Linked DNA regions of Cricetulus griseus. The protein of the gene in region 2 purifies or fractionates together with the protein of the main gene of each other region. This does not show direct contact. Links are inferred from orthologs where the notes say so. Each region holds a gene or a part of one and is shown on either strand. Other genes may lie near its edges.

Evidence for each region.
Region 1: the proteins of Sod1 (region 2) and Tpi1 purify together in Homo sapiens (affinity purification with mass spectrometry; 3 studies listed by BioGRID, with this or other methods). This does not show direct contact. The link is inferred for Cricetulus griseus from reciprocal best matches to the Homo sapiens genes SOD1 and TPI1.
Region 3: the proteins of Sod1 (region 2) and Prdx2 fractionate together in Homo sapiens (co-fractionation; 3 studies listed by BioGRID, with this or other methods). This does not show direct contact. The link is inferred for Cricetulus griseus from reciprocal best matches to the Homo sapiens genes SOD1 and PRDX2.

Annotation. Positions count from the first base shown.
Region 1 is NC_048601.1:21,601,718-21,607,321, forward strand, and holds Tpi1 (triosephosphate isomerase), read left to right. Parts: upstream 1-1,835; 5' UTR 1,836-1,911; coding exon 1,912-2,026; intron 2,027-3,133; coding exon 3,134-3,257; intron 3,258-3,334; coding exon 3,335-3,419; intron 3,420-3,493; coding exon 3,494-3,626; intron 3,627-4,096; coding exon 4,097-4,182; intron 4,183-4,403; coding exon 4,404-4,491; intron 4,492-4,615; coding exon 4,616-4,734; 3' UTR 4,735-5,181; downstream 5,182-5,604. Other genes in the region: Usp5 (ubiquitin carboxyl-terminal hydrolase 5), read left to right, coding at 386-479; Spsb2 (SPRY domain-containing SOCS box protein 2), read right to left, coding at 5,477-5,604. UniProt on the Homo sapiens protein: Triosephosphate isomerase is an extremely efficient metabolic enzyme that catalyzes the interconversion between dihydroxyacetone phosphate (DHAP) and D-glyceraldehyde-3-phosphate (G3P) in glycolysis and gluconeogenesis.
Region 2 is NC_048597.1:7,461,428-7,466,490, forward strand, and holds the end of Sod1 (superoxide dismutase [Cu-Zn]), read right to left. Parts: intron 3,505-5,063; coding exon 3,435-3,504; intron 2,724-3,434; coding exon 2,606-2,723; intron 2,505-2,605; exon of another isoform or gene 2,134-2,504; coding exon of another isoform or gene 2,081-2,133; intron 1,640-2,080; coding exon 1,532-1,639; 3' UTR 1,441-1,531; downstream 1-1,440. UniProt on the Homo sapiens protein: Destroys radicals which are normally produced within the cells and which are toxic to biological systems.
Region 3 is NC_048596.1:159,392,334-159,397,888, forward strand, and holds Prdx2 (peroxiredoxin-2), read right to left. Parts: upstream 3,770-5,555; 5' UTR 3,753-3,769; intron 3,254-3,752; 5' UTR 3,252-3,253; coding exon 3,149-3,251; intron 3,059-3,148; coding exon 2,905-3,058; intron 2,073-2,904; coding exon 1,950-2,072; intron 1,804-1,949; coding exon 1,673-1,803; intron 453-1,672; coding exon 367-452; 3' UTR 303-366; downstream 1-302.

The DNA of each region.
Region 1 (5,604 bases), on a different chromosome or scaffold from region 2:
GAGAAACGCTGGGGGGGGGGGATGGCATGATGTAGTTGTATACATATTTAATCCCAGCATTGTGGAGGCAGAAATAGATAGATCTTTGAGTTTGTAGCCAGCCTGGTCTACATAGTATTCCAGGATAGCCAGAGCTGTTGGGATCCTGTTTCTAAGTAACAATCTGAAGACTCCAAATGGAAAATGACTCTTAAGGGATTTTGAAGTTCCTTTCAGACTGCTAGCTGGACTATAGATTTGGGGATCTCAGCATTAAATGAAAGTTGGGATCCTTCCCCAGAAACACCTCAGAGATCTCAGGTGGGCACCTGAGAGATGAACATGATACAGCTTGGATGCCCACTTTGTTCATCCTTCCTTCTCTGTCCCTTCCCCCATTTTCCAGATGGGTGATCTACAATGACCAGAAAGTGTGTGCCTCTGAAAAGCCACCCAAGGACCTGGGCTACATCTACTTCTACCAGAGAGTGGTCAGCTAAGAGCCTGACCTCAACCCTTACCACTTCGGGCAGGGGACAGACCATCTGGCATGAGGGATGGGGTTGAGGGATGGACTTAAGCCCCCTGCTCTGTACCCTTTTTCCTTTTGTCCCCAGCAGCCGGAAAGAGCTGGAGGCGGTAGGAGAATGGCCAAGCAAAGAGAAGGGGTACTCAGTAGACTTTGGGGATAGAGCAGGGATGGGACAGGAAGGGGCCGACTGCCTGTCCACACTGGGACCTTGTTGCTTCCTTTCCCTGCCCCTGGAATCCACAGTGCTCTGCTTCTCTGTGATGACCCAGCCCCTCGAGTTGGGAGGGGTCTTAACTGTGTGTGCGTGGGTGTGGCTTTATGCATCCTTCCAGGGGAGGGAGCGACTGTGCCTCCCCTCCCCTCCCCTCCCCTTCCCTTATGTGTTTGCTCCCTCGTGGTTGGGCAGAGAAGGATAGGAGGGAAATAGGGACACCTTCCCCCTTTGTTCTTCTGCCTCAGCCTCCCATTCTGTGTCTTTGGTCCTCTGGAAAAATGCCAAAATACATGATGTGAATAAAAGTACAATGACTGGCTGGTTTTGTTTAGTTCTTCATGGCAAACTTACTTTCCCTGAGTAAAGTTACTGATGTGGGGGGCAGACAGGTTCAGAGAGGCCCAACTGGGGTCCTTTGCCCTGCCTCCACCCTCCCACCCTGGGGAATTTTGTCTTTAGTTCTAAAAGTGCCCAGAAAACTGTGAGGTGGGGAAGTGGCTGCTTCCCCCCTCTACTGACCATGTACTTGGTCCAGCCCCAGTGTTACAGGATAAATAGAGGGTCTAGAGCAGGCAGTGGGCAGTCAGATGGTATTAGCTGACAGGCTTTACAAGACAACAGCCAGTCTGCCACCTCCCTTCCTGCACGCCAGTGTATCCCACTCTTTGCTCCATTTGGCCAAGACCTGACAAGAGAGGGACCCAGTAATCACCCGAAACGTTTGTGAAACACTTGGGCCCTTCCCTAGTGATTGCTGGAAGGGCTCCTCGACCATGGCTTTTTGCCTTGTGCTGTGGGGAAAGGGGGCCTCTCCTTTGGAGAGGTGCTCAGTCCCAGTGAGACTGGTTTAGGGCCATATTGCTGCCAGCCCTTTGGTTTCCCTGAGCGCGAGGCTCAACATCTCAACTGTCGAGCAACAGGCGGGACGTTTGAGCCCCCGGAACCCCCTAGAACGTTGCTACAAGAAGGGAGAAACGTCAGAATATCGAAACACCGGGAGGTGGATAGGTTGAGGGGGAAGGCTTAGCAGCAAGGGGCCGGGCTAACCATGGCGGAGGGCGGGAATGAGGAGGAGTTCTGCTTCACGGCACTCTATATAAGTGGCCAGTGGCCAGGGACGTGCGTTCACACTGAGGTTCAGCAAGTCTGTCAGAGCGCGGAGGTTCAGCAAGTCTGTCAGACCGCAATGGCGCCTTCCAGGAAGTTCTTCGTTGGGGGCAATTGGAAGATGAACGGGACGAAGAAGTGCCTGGGAGAGCTCATTTGCACGCTGAACGCGGCCAAGGTGCCGGCAGACACCGGTGAGCTCCATTTGGGAGCGGAGGCCGGGGGAGGGGTGGGTGGGTGGTGGATCGGGCGTGGCAGCACCTACTCCCTCCCTATCCCGTGGACCCGGACGCCGGCCTGGGTTCGCCGGCCGTTTGGTGTCCGGGCGGCATAGAGACGTACTGGGGTGGAAAGGCATTTAAATGATGCCCCGGGCCTGTGGGGCAGGAAAGGGCTTCGTGGGTGGGGGCTGGGCGGAAGGTCACCTCCAGGAATGGACTGGGGCTGCACCACCTAGGAGGGAGCCACGGTTAAGAAGCGGAACCAGTGTCCGAGTGGATAATCGGCACGTGCCTCAGAGTATGGGGGAGGAAGCTGAGCTTGCGCGGTCTCATGGTCTCACGGCTACCTGCCCCCTCGGTCTCCAGATCCGTGCGTCTCTGCACGTAGCCCGAAACTCCTCCCCGCGCCGCCGCTAGCTTCGGCCTCTGAGCTGGGGGCTCCTACATCCCTACCCCTCCACAGCCTGGGCCACCCCTGCCTTTCGCCTTAGGGACTGAGCAGGCGCCAAACATGCCGAGCCGTTTGGGAATGAAGAGCTATCCTACAGCTCTCCTCCGCCTGGAAATAGGAAAACACGAGGTCTCTGCGAGCTAGACAACTCCCCCTGCTGCTCACTCACACTGTTCTCCATCCTTCCCCCTCCTACCCACCTAAATCAGAGAACCTTGAGAGTAACCAAAGGGTATTGTCTGCTGATTTATTTCCTAAGGAGCCCAATACAGACTCCAGTACCTGGCCTATTCTCCTGAAGCGAAAAATCCTTGCTGGGTTGGAGAAGTGTGGATGGGCTATTTTAGAAAAGGTTGGCCCCCGGAGAGTGCTGAGTCTAGGAGGTTCCCATTCCCGGAATAGCCTGAGGAAATTAGAGCCACAGCTGTTACAAGAGCAGAGGACAGGGTAAGGGCCTTGGCCTATCATGAGCATTCAGAAGGCTATGGAATTGGTACAGGCCCAGCCGGGGCTGTGCAGTGAACAAAGGTCATCCTTCTGAAGTGAAAAATCGAGGAAAACAGAACCAAGAAAGTGAAGGCGTGAGAGCAAGCCTGGAGAGTAACGGCTTTCTTTGATCTCATTCTCAGAGGTGGTTTGTGCGCCCCCCGCCGCCTACATCGATTTTGTCAGGCAGAAGCTAGATCCCAAGATTGCTGTGGCTGCACAGAACTGCTACAAAGTGAACAGTGGGGCCTTCACTGGGGAGATCAGGTGAGATGGAGGCAGAGAGGGATGTAGAGGGAACCTTCCTTGTGGACCCTTGCTGAACCTTGGTGTTTATGTTTTAGCCCTGGCATGATCAAAGACTTAGGAGCCGAATGGGTAGTGCTAGGGCACTCGGAGAGAAGGCACATCTTTGGGGAGTCCGATGAGGTCAGTAAGCAGAGGAGGAGTTGGGAGATGCTTTCATCCGAGGCGGGTGGCTCACTGTATTTGTTCTTTGCCAGTTGATTGGACAGAAAGTGGCCCATGCCCTATCCGAGGGCCTTGGAGTGATCGCCTGCATTGGGGAGAAGCTAGATGAAAGGGAGGCCGGCACCACCGACAAGGTTGTTTTCGAGCAAACCAAGGCCATCGCAGGTATCTCAGGAGAAAGGGACCTTTGAGCCTAGCAAGGGCCACAGAGATGGGGTGGGGAGGTCAAAAACCCTGCAGCCTACCTGATATGTTGAGCCAGGAAAAGAGAGGGCAACTTGCATAGTCTTTGTCACTTCTGTTTCTGCAGAAGGTGGAAACCCTACCTTCAAAAGCCTCTAGGGGCTGGTGAAATGGCTCTGTGGGTAAGGGTGCTTATTGCCAAGCCTGAGAGCCTATTTGATCCTCCAAACCCACATGGTAGGAGAGAACCAACTCCTGCAAGTTGTCCTCTGTCCTCCGTATGTTTGCCTTAGCGCTCGCGTGAGCACACACACACAAATTGTTTAAAAAAAAAAAATGGGTGGAGAAAAAAAGCCCACCAGGAATTGCAAGCCATTTCTGTTACACCCTAGAGAGCTTAGCTGGGCAGCTCCTTCCTCTTCACAGTTTTCTCCCTGATCTTCACCCTGCAGATAATGTGAAGGACTGGAACAAAGTTGTCCTGGCCTATGAACCTGTATGGGCCATTGGTACTGGCAAGACTGCAACACCTCAACAGGTAACTAATTGCCGAGAAGCCCCATCCCCCCGTCCCCCCCGTCCCCAACTCAACAAAAAAAGTGACTTGCCAAGGATGTTTTCCCTGTCTGGGATTGGAGCCTTGCTATTCTGATCCCAAGACTTTTCCAGAAACTAAACCCTCCATACAAGCACCAATGGGTTGCTTGTTCTCTTTGAATGAACAGGAAAGGTCTTACTTAGTGTACCTCTTCTTTCTAGGCCCAGGAAGTACACGAGAAGCTTCGGGGATGGCTGAAATCCAATGTCTCTGATGCAGTGGCTCAAAGCACCCGAATCATTTATGGAGGTGAGGGGGTTTGGCTCCAGCCAAGGTGGAAGTGGGCTAAGATAGACTGAGGCCCCACAGAGAGGTGGGGCCTCCGTGGACTAATCCTATCCCTGACCAAACCATCTTCCTGTTAATGTTACAGGTTCTGTGACTGGAGCAACCTGCAAAGAGCTGGCAAGCCAGCCTGATGTGGACGGCTTCCTTGTGGGTGGTGCTTCCCTCAAGCCTGAGTTTGTGGACATCATCAATGCCAAATGTTAAACACCAGCATCTTCCCTACCCTCCGCTAGGCCAGGATTAGGTTGCCCAGGAGCTTAGGAACTGCTCCCACAAGTCACATGCTTCTGATGTCATCGCCCCATCTTGTTTGCTAATCCACACTGTACCTTCCTACACCTTTGACACCTCCCTATAAAGGTTGGGACCAGGCCAATCCCTTTACCACTTACAATGAATGAAATAATGTCACCTATTTCACCAAAGTGGCTTCCTGGCTGGCGGAGCGGAAGAAGCGCAACTGACTGTCCCTTCAGGTCCTCACCAGGGCAGGAGAGTAAAACCACCTTCCTTTTCCTTCTCAGTGTACACTTAGGCCAACGTCCTCTTGCTCTGAGAGGCCAGGGGTGTCCCATCTCCCACAATGCCGAAGCCCTAGTACTGTGTTTGTGAACCATCTTACATGTAAAGGAAATAAACACCTGGCCCCAAGCTTTGTAGTTTGTCATCTTCATTGCATGTTTTCACGGGGAAAGTGGCATAACAAAAACAAAACAGGCTGTGACAATACATCTCAGTTTTTACTTGAAAAACATCTTTTGCACCAGGCTGCCACAGCCTTTAATTTCACTTCCACGTCTCGCCCCTCTATAAGGGTTAGTGAAGGGGTCCAGCCTCTTCTCCCCTCAGCTTCACTGGTTTTGTCTAGGCCAATCGATGGTGCCTCTCCACCTGTCCCCACGGTACTGAGGATGACCAGGTGCCTGTACCATCTGGTGCTTCAGGGTCATTTGTAGAGCAGGTAGCGCTTCATGGCAGGGGGCAAAGGCAGAGTGGATATTTGGCCAAGCCGGGTATCTCCCAGCGCATGGCGCACACACAGACGACTCAGATGCAGAAGGGATTGTGGTTCCT
Region 2 (5,063 bases):
CTGGGACCCAAGAGTTGGAAGAACACTAACTCTTTTCCTTCTCATACACATACCCTAAAAATAAGTGTGATTTTAAAACCACAAGATACTAAGTAAACAAAAAATTCCTAAATTGGCTTAGCTTTAGAGTTCTGAGAAGCTCCTCTTGTATGCTCTCATTTGAATTTTTTAGTGCAAGGTCTTTGTGATGATGGGGAGACTTATGTCTGCAGCTGTCCCGGTTTTGGTTTTATGTTGACCCTACTGATATTCTTGCTCTAGAATACTTCCGAAGAGATAAAAACACACCTGGTTATCCAGTGCCCAGATTTCAAGGACAGACTTGCATTTCCAACCGGAAGTGCTGAGAAATAAACCACTAAACAATACAACTGGTTTGATTACACCAGATGCTTAGTCTCATTTGAGTCACCCCACACATCAAAAACCACTTTAAGGAAACCCATGACATGTCATTTACCTCAAACTTCAAACTTCCGAACACATTCCTTATGAGCAGTTTTAAAACTTGGGAACCCCAAAATTTTCCCTTTTCCTATTTAACAGTCTCCTAGTGACTTGTATTTGGAAAATTATGTGGTTACGATTGAACAGGACCAGGTAGGGCTCATACCTGACTTGTCAAACATTTCAGTTGAATGATCTATTCTAGAGTCACCTGCACAGACCTCCGGACTTCTATGGCTAGCTAGTGGCAAGCTCCATTCTCTGGTCTTCGGACAGGCTTTATTTGTACAAGCAAGTTATCACTATGTTATTTCCTTTAGAAGGGAGTCTTTCTTAGGTACATATTAAGAGATACTCAATTTCATTCACTTGTGCTATAAAGTCAGGATTTAGCCAGAACTTTGAGTCAAACTTGGTCCTCTCCCAGTGCTGCTGTTTTTCCAGGGTCACTTGGAAAGTAGTGTAGGTAGTAAATTAACTTTGGCTAGCTGAGGCTAAGGGGCATTTTAAATTATGACATCTAAATATAGTATTTTTATTTCAAAATAGTTGGTACTCTGACTCTAAATGGAGAGCTTTCGGTAATATTTCTGAAGCTACTAACAAAGGGCAGCAAACCTTCTAAGATCAAATTTGGTTTGGGCTTCCACAATCAAAACTAGCCATACATTTTGATGGTGTCACATAAAACACTTTCAAAACAGAGCACTAAAGTTAACAACACCTGAGTCTCTTGTTGATGTTTAATGTATAGCGCTAACTTTGAAATTTTGTTTGTATACATTAATAGGCTCTAAGTAAGTCTCACATATGATGTTTACTCATAAGCTTGAGTGAGAATTAACTTTAGTTTAATATCCATGGGTAATTAAGTTTGGCAGAATACGCATGGAAACCGGTTTTAGTTCAGTTAGCTATAAAATTATACACATCTTTCTAGCATCATCAATCAGTTCTCATTACAAGTCCTTAAATCAAAGAGGAGTCACACAGTTACACTTTTAATATTACAGTTTAATGGGGTTTTTTTCTACAGTTTAGCAGGACAGCAGATGAGTTTGAGACTCAGTCACACAGGGAATGTTTACTGGGCAATCCCGATCACACCACAAGCCAAGCGGCTTCCAGCATTTCCAGTCTTTGTACTTTCATCATTTCCGCCTTTGCCCAAGTCATCTTGCTTCTCATGGACCTTTGAAAAGAATTAAGAACATTTAGCTTTGGGCAACCAAGTAATTAGCACCTCTTCCTAGCAATACCACAAAAGACTTAAAAGGACCACTTAAATTATAAAATGTTCAAATCTATTAGCAAATAAGATGGTATTTATGCTACCAGTTAGGGGCAGACAACTAAGTTCTCCTTTTAGTGACAAAGACACGTTAGCTTTAAAAGCTAGGTAAATGTTGCTACTTCTAAATGAAATACTAACAACCCAAATGACTGTACCAGACCACATGCTGATCTTAGCTTCACACATTACACACCCCCAAATTTTTTGCTATCAAAAATCCCACATCAGTGAACTATAGACCTACAAATAAGAGGCAATTCTAAATATCTTTATTTAGCAACAAGACTTTAAATTTTACTTTTAGAACATTTATAAATGACTGTTCTGCTTCACCAATAGGGCTGAAGAAAATTCTAAGGATAAAGGGTCAACTGAAAGGAAGTGCCTACTGAAAAGGTAGCTGCCCAAGCTGGGCAGGAGCCTTTACTACTTGTTCTGCATGAACCAGACTCAGCTCCCGAGGGTAACTTGGGAAGACGGCTCCCATATGGTAACCAAGCGATGATAACCTACAGACCTGAATACTGACATCCATCGCAGATTTTACACTCAACGAAATGTTTAACTGTAAGGGGAGCAATCATGGCAAGAAAATCTGGCTGTTTTAAACTCAAGACTACTGTTTGTTCAACTTAGACCCAGTCTGATCAAATGTAACCTGCTTTCCACTGCATCTTAGCAGAACAGTGTTCTTAACTGACCTAGGCAAATTAACTCTTCACTATCATATCCAATAAAAACTTTTTCCTATTCTAAACTTTAACAATTTATGTGATTCTTTAGAAAGTAGTTTGACCATGAAGTCTTGGAAAGGTATATAACCATGTTAGAAGAAATCCTATATGTTCTTTTATGAAAACGTACCACCATTGTTCGGCCGATGATAGAATGCTCTCCCGAGAGTGAGATCACATGATCTTCAATGGACACATTGGCCACACCATCCTTCCCGGCAGTCACATTGCCCAGGTCTCCAACATGCCTAATGTTACAACAGCATCAGAGGATAAGCACTCATGTCTACATTCACATCAGCAGCATTCAAGAGCTAAATTAACATCTCACCAAGTCAAACACGTCTAAGTGGGCTAGGAAGTACACAATACATACCAAATAGGACGACTTTTCCAGACTCACAAAGGTCTGGAAACACAATTTTAAAACAGGTAGCTAGGACACCCTGAACACACACTTCAAGTTTAAAAGTACGATCTGAGAAGAGTCACGGTCTGGGATATATTTCTCATTTTGGGGATTGTAGCAAAGGAGGAACTCAGCTCGTGAGTTAGCATACCTAGCAAAGTTTTGCTCCCAGGCCTCCAGTATAAAAACAAGGCAGTCCTTTAAACTTAGGACTTTCCTGAGGTGTTTCACATATAAATGGAGTCTCAACTAGCTTTCATTATCTGCACTAGTATCCTGTTACACAATGATTTACTTTGCTAGTGACTGACAGTACTGTTACCCTTGACATTTTCTGTATTGGTTCCTTTTGGCTCTTGTATTCATCTTCAATAAATGCTATAAAACTAAATCACATTAAGAGTCCCCATTTGTCAACTCCTTTACCCCAAATAAACCGTTCCAGCACTTGGGGAGTGACAACAAATACAAGCGCAGAGGCAGGGAGACCACTCAGTCCTGTCTTCCAGGCAGCCTCTCCACCATCATGCATATGGGGCATGCCGCTCACCTCTCTTGATCCGAGGGTCCGCCATGTTTCTTGGAGTGAGGATTAAAATGAGGACCTGCACTGGTACAGCCTATCCACCAGAAACCAGCAGTTAGATTATGAAGCAAACGCCTGTATGTAACAACATGAGCATTTTCACAACGTCTAACACAGCAAACATTGACCTGCTGTGTGCTGGGGTGACAGAAACAGGAAGAACACTGTGCATGGTATAAACAGCAGGGCTGTGTAGCCTTATACTATCAAGCTACCTTCTTTCTTTAGGCTGCCACATTTTTCCGTTTTTTTGGGGGGGAGGGTCGTTCCCCCCCCCTTTTGTTTTTGAGTTTTGGGACAGGGTCTCACTATTACAGCCCAGGATACCTGCAGCCTGTGATCCTCCTGCCTCAGCCTTCCAGGTGCTAGGAACATGGGACTGCCACACCATACTGGCTCTGGCTCCTTCCTTTTAAGTGGAGCAGATCTGATCTTCAATGGCTCTTCTGAAGTTAAAGTCCCACATTTAAAGATCTTGGCTTTTAAGAAGGTGCCATATCCAGGTGGGATGTTAGGGGGGAGGGGAGGGAGAGGAAGAAGGATTTGACATGTGAAACAAGCTTGTTCCTAATTTGAACTAATAAAAGAATGAAAAAAAAAAAAAAGGGAAGGTGCCATACCATTATGACAAAAACATTCATCTTTCAAGACCATGCGCCTCCAAGTAGCTCATCTATCTGGCCTTTACCTGGGGCATGGGGCAGGCAGTCTGTTAAATGGAACCTTATGCCCAATGGCCAGGGCTGCTGCCCTACACAACTCGAGGGGTGTACAGGTACTCACACCAAGGGGCCATTCATAAGGAACACAACCGTATCATCACAGAAGTCCTTTCATGCAGAGACTTGCACTGTTTACAACTACCCAGGCCCAGGGAATAAGTGCAGGGCAGGATTCAGGAGATTTAGCAGATAAAAGCTATCAGAGCAGAGGCAAAGCAACTTAGGGGAGTTTTAGTAATTATCAAAATGGATCAAACCCGATCAAAATGGACCAAATTATGACACGTTATACACAGGTTTTAATGGTACATGCCATAACCCAGCACACACAAGACTAAATAAAGGAGGATGCCAACTTCAGAGACTGGCTTATACCACAAGTTCTAGGCCAACCTGGGCTATGTAGAGAAGAGAGGGAAGCAGGGGTGGAGTGGAGAGGAAGAGAAAGCTCTGACAATACGAATGAGGCTCTTCTTACAAGTTTGTGAACAAAATTCAGATCTTGCCAATATGGCAAGACCACTAAATGCAATCTAATCCACCACCACTTAAGTGAAAGGTTTTATTAGAAAGGGGAGGGAAAGAGAAAAGAGGTAAAGAGCCAGAGAGGACAGAAGAGAAGGGAGGGACACCCCTCCCTCCGCCCACTTCTTGCTGACTTGATCCTAAGCCCACTGAGACACTGACCTTCCTCCTAAGCTGTACCTTCAGTTCTCAGCACTCTGCCCCACTGTGACTCTCATTGCAAGGCTTGGAGCTTTCCCCGACACTGTGCCTGAAACACCCACCCTCACCCCCCAGTGCCAAGCACCTCAAAGAATTACTCAAAATCAGCAGGACTTTAATTTTTTGTTTCTGTGTTTTAAAGTTA
Region 3 (5,555 bases), on a different chromosome or scaffold from region 2:
AGATCAGTATCTCTCCACTCTCAGGCCACCAGAGCTCTATGCAGTGAATGTGGTATTGTCGCCACCTTGTGGTGAAGAAGGGTAACTGCAGAGTCAGTTGCGCAGGCCAGCGTGTAAAAATGAAGTTGGGATCAACTAGACAGCACAACAGTCTTTCACTGTCCCTAATACTTTATTGGTTTCCTTCCTATAGATGTGTGCCCAGACAGGTGGGCTCAGGACATAGGGTCACTATTCACCACATCCCAGGTGGGCAATGAGAAAGCCTTGGCCCACCCCCAGCCCCTCCAGTCTTTTCTGGACCAGCACAGGACATCCAGGTAGGGGCGGGATACAAGAATTCAGGCTCACTGATGTTTGATCATCTTAGTTGTGTTTGGAGAAGTATTCTTTGCTGTCATCCACATTGGGCTTGATGGTGTCACTGCCGGGCTTCCAGCCAGCAGGACAGACTAGAAAAACACACAAGGATGAACACATGAGGCTCAGCTCTGCCATCCAGGTCAGGGACAAACAGGCCATGCAAGACCCTAGGCTGCCTGCACAATGAAGGGCTGGAAGCTAAGGGGCAGGGTTCCAGATTTCACTCAATCAGAAGCCCCTGCCCCAATAGTTTTCTAGATGATACTTTTCTGTTCTATTGTCTTGTTTGTTCTGTACTTTTGTTTTCACCTTGACCCCGACCCGATGGCAGCCCTATCTTAGCCCGACTGCTGGGATCACAGACAGGCATCACCACACTCCTGCAAATTCTTTTTTTTTTTTTTAGTTTTATTTTAGCTGCTGAAGGACTGGAGTTTGAGCTCTGGGCCTTGTGTAAACCACACCTAGCTATAGTTCAGTCTTCTTTTTTAAGGGTTCTCTGGCTGGCCTACAACTTTCTCCATAGATCAGGCTCCATAGATCAAACATGCACTGCTCCTCCTTCCTCCACAGCTGAAGTGTTTGGACTATAGGCATGCACCACCACACTTAGCCTTTTTTCTTGAAATAATGTCTCACTCTTCAGCCCAAGCTGGTCTCCTGTTTCAGCTCCAAAGTGCTGAGATTACAGGCCTGTGTCTCCATGCCCCTCCCCTTTAACTCACTCACTCTGTCAGTCTTAGCCTTACTAAAACTCTGTACCTGTGGTCAGGTGACCCTTCCATATGATGAGGTGCTATGACTGGCCTCGAGGTACAGCTCAGTGAAAGAGCATCGTCTAGTATGTTTGAGGCTTTGATCACTAGCACACTCATGCACAAATAAGTTTTTAAAGCAGGTACGGTATTTTGTGCCTTTAATCCCAGAACTGGGGAGCAGGCAGATCTTTTGAGTTCAAGGCCAGATTGGTCTACATAGCTAGCTCCAGGCAAACATGAATACATACTAAAAATTTGTTTTTTTGGGGCTCCGGCTTTTTTTTTTAATCTAATTTTTTTTGTGATATATATATATACAAGAGGAGACCAGAAGAGAGTCCTGAGACTGTAATTAAAGATGCTTATGAGGCACCATGTGGGTGCTGGAAATCTAACCCTGATCCTCTGGAAAAGCAGCCAGTGCTGTAAACCATCTCTTCAGCCCTTGTATGGGGCTTTACCACCCATCCCACAATGATGCTAGGGCAAACAGTTAATGTCTGTAAGCTGGGCAGAGAGCTGAGGATCCCCATCTGTGAATATTCACTCACCTTCTCCATGCTCATCTGTATACTGAAAAGCCTGGACCAGGCGAAGAGCCTCATCCACAGATCGTCCCACTGGGAGGTCATTGACTGTGATCTGACGAAGGATACCCTTGGCGTCGATGATAAAGAGGCCCCTGAAGACATGAGAGCCTATAGTGAGGAGCTTGGAGTCCCCCACTGCCAAGGCCAGGTAAGGCAACACACACACCCCATTAGCCACAGTGGTCCCTTTAGCCTTGAGATGGGGACTCCTGGAGCTGGGCTGAGGCCCTTGCTATACCTGTAGGCAATGCCCTCATCAGTTTTCAACACTCCATAATTCTCTGACAAGCTTCTAGTCACATCAGCAAGCAGGGGGATGTTCAGGGGGCCCAAGCCTCCCTCCTTCCGTGGGGTGTTGATCCTGAAGATGAGAGAAACAGGGTTGGGGCCTTAGGATGCCCAGAACAGCAGAATTCCCCCCTCCCCCCCCCCCCCCCCCCGCCTCCAGTGTGATAAGGGCTGGAGTGGGGGTACTGGAAGCAAGAGATAAAGGATTTCAAACAAGGCTGGGTAGCCCCACCCTCCCCACCCTGGCAAAGGCAGTACAACTGGAAAGGGAATGGCCCAGATAAATCATCATCTTAAAGTAGCTTCACTTGGGCCCATGGGCTCCAATAACTAGCAATAGGGATACCACTTTAGCCAACAGCAGAGGTAGAGCTCAGGGGTAGGGTACTTGCTTTGCAGCAATGAGACCTTGAGTTGACCCCTAGTTCTGAAAAAAAAAGGGGGGGATTTCCAACATCATCTAGCTCTGGTCTTTACATCAACCCATCACTCTTGAGAACTAGAGTTTCCCGTTTCATGAGATAGGGCAAGGCCAGCCTGTCTCCTGAGAACTAAGCCACGAAGCATCTGTACCTTCCAACTAGGTGCCAAATGCTAATTACTGTCATTATTGTAAGGACTTGGGTGTCATTGTTTCCATTCTTTATAAGATGAAGGACCAGCTGGGCGGTGGTGGCGCAGGCCTTTAGTCCTAGCACTCAGGAGGCAGAGTCAGGAGGATCTCTGTGAGTTCCAGACCAGCCTGGTCTACAAGAGCTAGTTCCAGGACAGCCTCCAAAGCCACAGAGAAACCCTGTCTCGCAACCCCCCCACACACACATAAAAGATGAAGGGCCGGAAGAGAAGACACAGTTTATCCCCATAGTTTGCCCCCGCCCTCGCCCGCCCCGCGCACAGCCCCATACCACGCCAGGTGGGTGAACTGAGAGTCCACAGACACTCCGAGGACCTCGCAGCCCAGTTTTCGGAAGTCTTCAGCGTGGTTGCTAAAAGCAATGATCTCCGTGGGGCACACAAAAGTGAAGTCCAGTGGGTAGAAAAAGAGGACCACATACTTCCCTAGGGAAGAGGAGAACGAAGAAAAGTTAGTTCCAGCCCCTCTCATATATGGAGCCTGTCCCAACTTGGTCCCCCTCCGGGCAGCCTCACCTCTGTAGTCTGAAAGCTTGACTTCCTTGAAGGCGCCGTCCACCACTGCGGTGGCCGTGAAGTCCGGGGCCGGCTTTCCGATGTGCGCGTTGCCGGAGGCCATGACTGAAAGCAGAGACCCACGCAAGGCTGGTCAGTGCCGCAAAGGACCCTTTGTCTGACTTTCCCAAGGTCACTCTTGGGGCTGAAGCTAGACACCGAATCTGAGAGGTGGGAGCACCAGCACTCAAATTCATTCACCCTCCCAGAACAAGTTCTGCAAGGCCTCAGGAGACCCGGCCCCCTAAACGGCGCACGAGTGATGGATGGGGTCACCGCCGCCACCCGGGTTATCCAGTCGGCCCAAGCGCGGGGGAAAGGACGCGAACCAGAACGGGATGGCGAGGCCAAGAGCGAGGAGCTGTGAGCTCGGCGATACGGCCTGCAACCCAGGGCTCCGACCTTGGTTCCCCCCATTCCCCCGCCCCCACCCCCACCTACCGCAAGGACAAAGGCGGCCGCCGTTGAGCATGGAAAACAAAGACCGTAAGCAAGGAGGGCTCTATAGGGACAGAACCGCACCCGTGGGGCTGCTCCCATTCGTGTGCATTCTGGGTTTCCATACCTGCGTGGGCAAGAGCCGGACACGCGAACGACAGGACACAAAGCACAGAGATCTCAGAGCCAAACAAGCCCTAGGCCCGCGAGCTTTTTATGCGCGGCCCAAACCACACTAGGCAGGACAGGGGGAGGTGGGCGGGACAGCTCCGACGGTAGGATCCACTGCGCCTGCAGAGGGGGAGCGCGCGGACCGGCCCACGCGCTTGCACAAGGGATGGGTGGGGTGTGCCTTTGCGGACGCCGGGATTGTCTGTGCTGTGGGATCCACGCGGGCCTGGGGCCCCGGGGCGCGTTGGGGTCGGTTGGAGTCCGGGCATGGACCGGAGCCTGCTGGCTCTGCTGCTGCCACCTCTAGTGCTCCTGGGTCTGGTGTCCCCTACTCAGGTAGACCCAGACTACCAGTATTTTGGCCAGCAGGGCAAAGTTGACACCTTGGAGCTGCTGAGGCTGCAGCAAAAAAAGGGTAAAAACTAGCAGGTGGCGGGAGTGACGATTTGAAAAGGTGCCCCCAAAGGCCTCACTTAGTCAGCTGATTACAAATAGACCCTCCTGTCTCGACTCTGCCCAGCTCAGCACAGGCCGTGTCCTCTGGGACTGGCCACTTTTCTCTGAGTGTGTTGGTTTCTCATCTGTGAGTTGTTTTTGTTTTGTTTTCTTTCACTTTACTGAAAATTTTGCTCTGCAGCTTCCTTGGTCATCTGATAATTGTAATATACACATTTAGCACTATTCAGGAGACAATAAGCAGACTATAAACATAGTGCTAGGCAGGGTGGAGACAGGGAAAGAAACTGTCCAGTCAGCTTGAGATGTCCGCAAGGTGTGGTGAAGATGGTAGTAACCAATACAGCCGGAATGACTAGCAGAGTCAAAATTACAAAGACTGAGTGAGTAACAGTGTCCCAGGAAGAGGGAATAAACAAAGGCCTAAGGGGAGGATGTCATTTGGCAAAGATCTGATGAGGAAGGGTAAGAGGCACCACCCTCGGTGAGTTCTGATAAGGGTTTTGCTGCACTAGTAGCTAGAGCAGTTGGAGCACTGGCCCAGCGTGCAACAAAGTCCTGCTCCTTCCCCAACACTGACTAAGCAGTGCACACTGCAATCATAGTATTTGGGAGCTGGAGTCAGGGGAACTGAAGTTCAGAGTCATCTGCGGCTACCAAAGGAATTAGAGGCCAGCTTAGAGTACACGAGACTCTGATTAAAAAAAAAAAAAAAAAAAAAAAGCAAAAAAAGGAAAGAAAGGAAAGGAAAGGAAAGGAAAGGAAAGGAAAGGAAAGGAAAGGAAAGGAAAGGAATTCTGTTAGGATGTAGGTCAGGGGTGGTACAGCACTTGACCAGAGTGTGTGAGGCCTTGGGCTAAATCTTACCTTTAGCACTACACTGGGAAAAAAAAAAAGTTGTAGCTGTTCCTGAGCATAAAAATTACTTTGTTGCTACAAGTTAGTGGAGCACCAGTGGCTTTAAGTAAATTCATTGTGTCAATTATATTGTTTATCTTGCGGTGTGTTAGTCCTGCCAGTCAGGTGGCAGTGGGCAAGAGTCAACTTTGGATGTCGGGTATGAAGGACAGAGTGTCCATACTCACAACTGAGCAGGCCAGCACAGATTAGAGGTGTTAATTTGCAGCTGTGGGCAGCTCATGTATGTCAACCTGACAGAGTGGTTTGTTTTTCTGGATCACCCCCACACAGAGGCAGCAAAGTCTTCAAATACCAGCTGATACTAGGTTCCTTATCATTGTCCTTCCCTGGACAAGTCCCCCGTAATGGAGTTAATTACCCCAACTGGGTTTTCATGTTCACT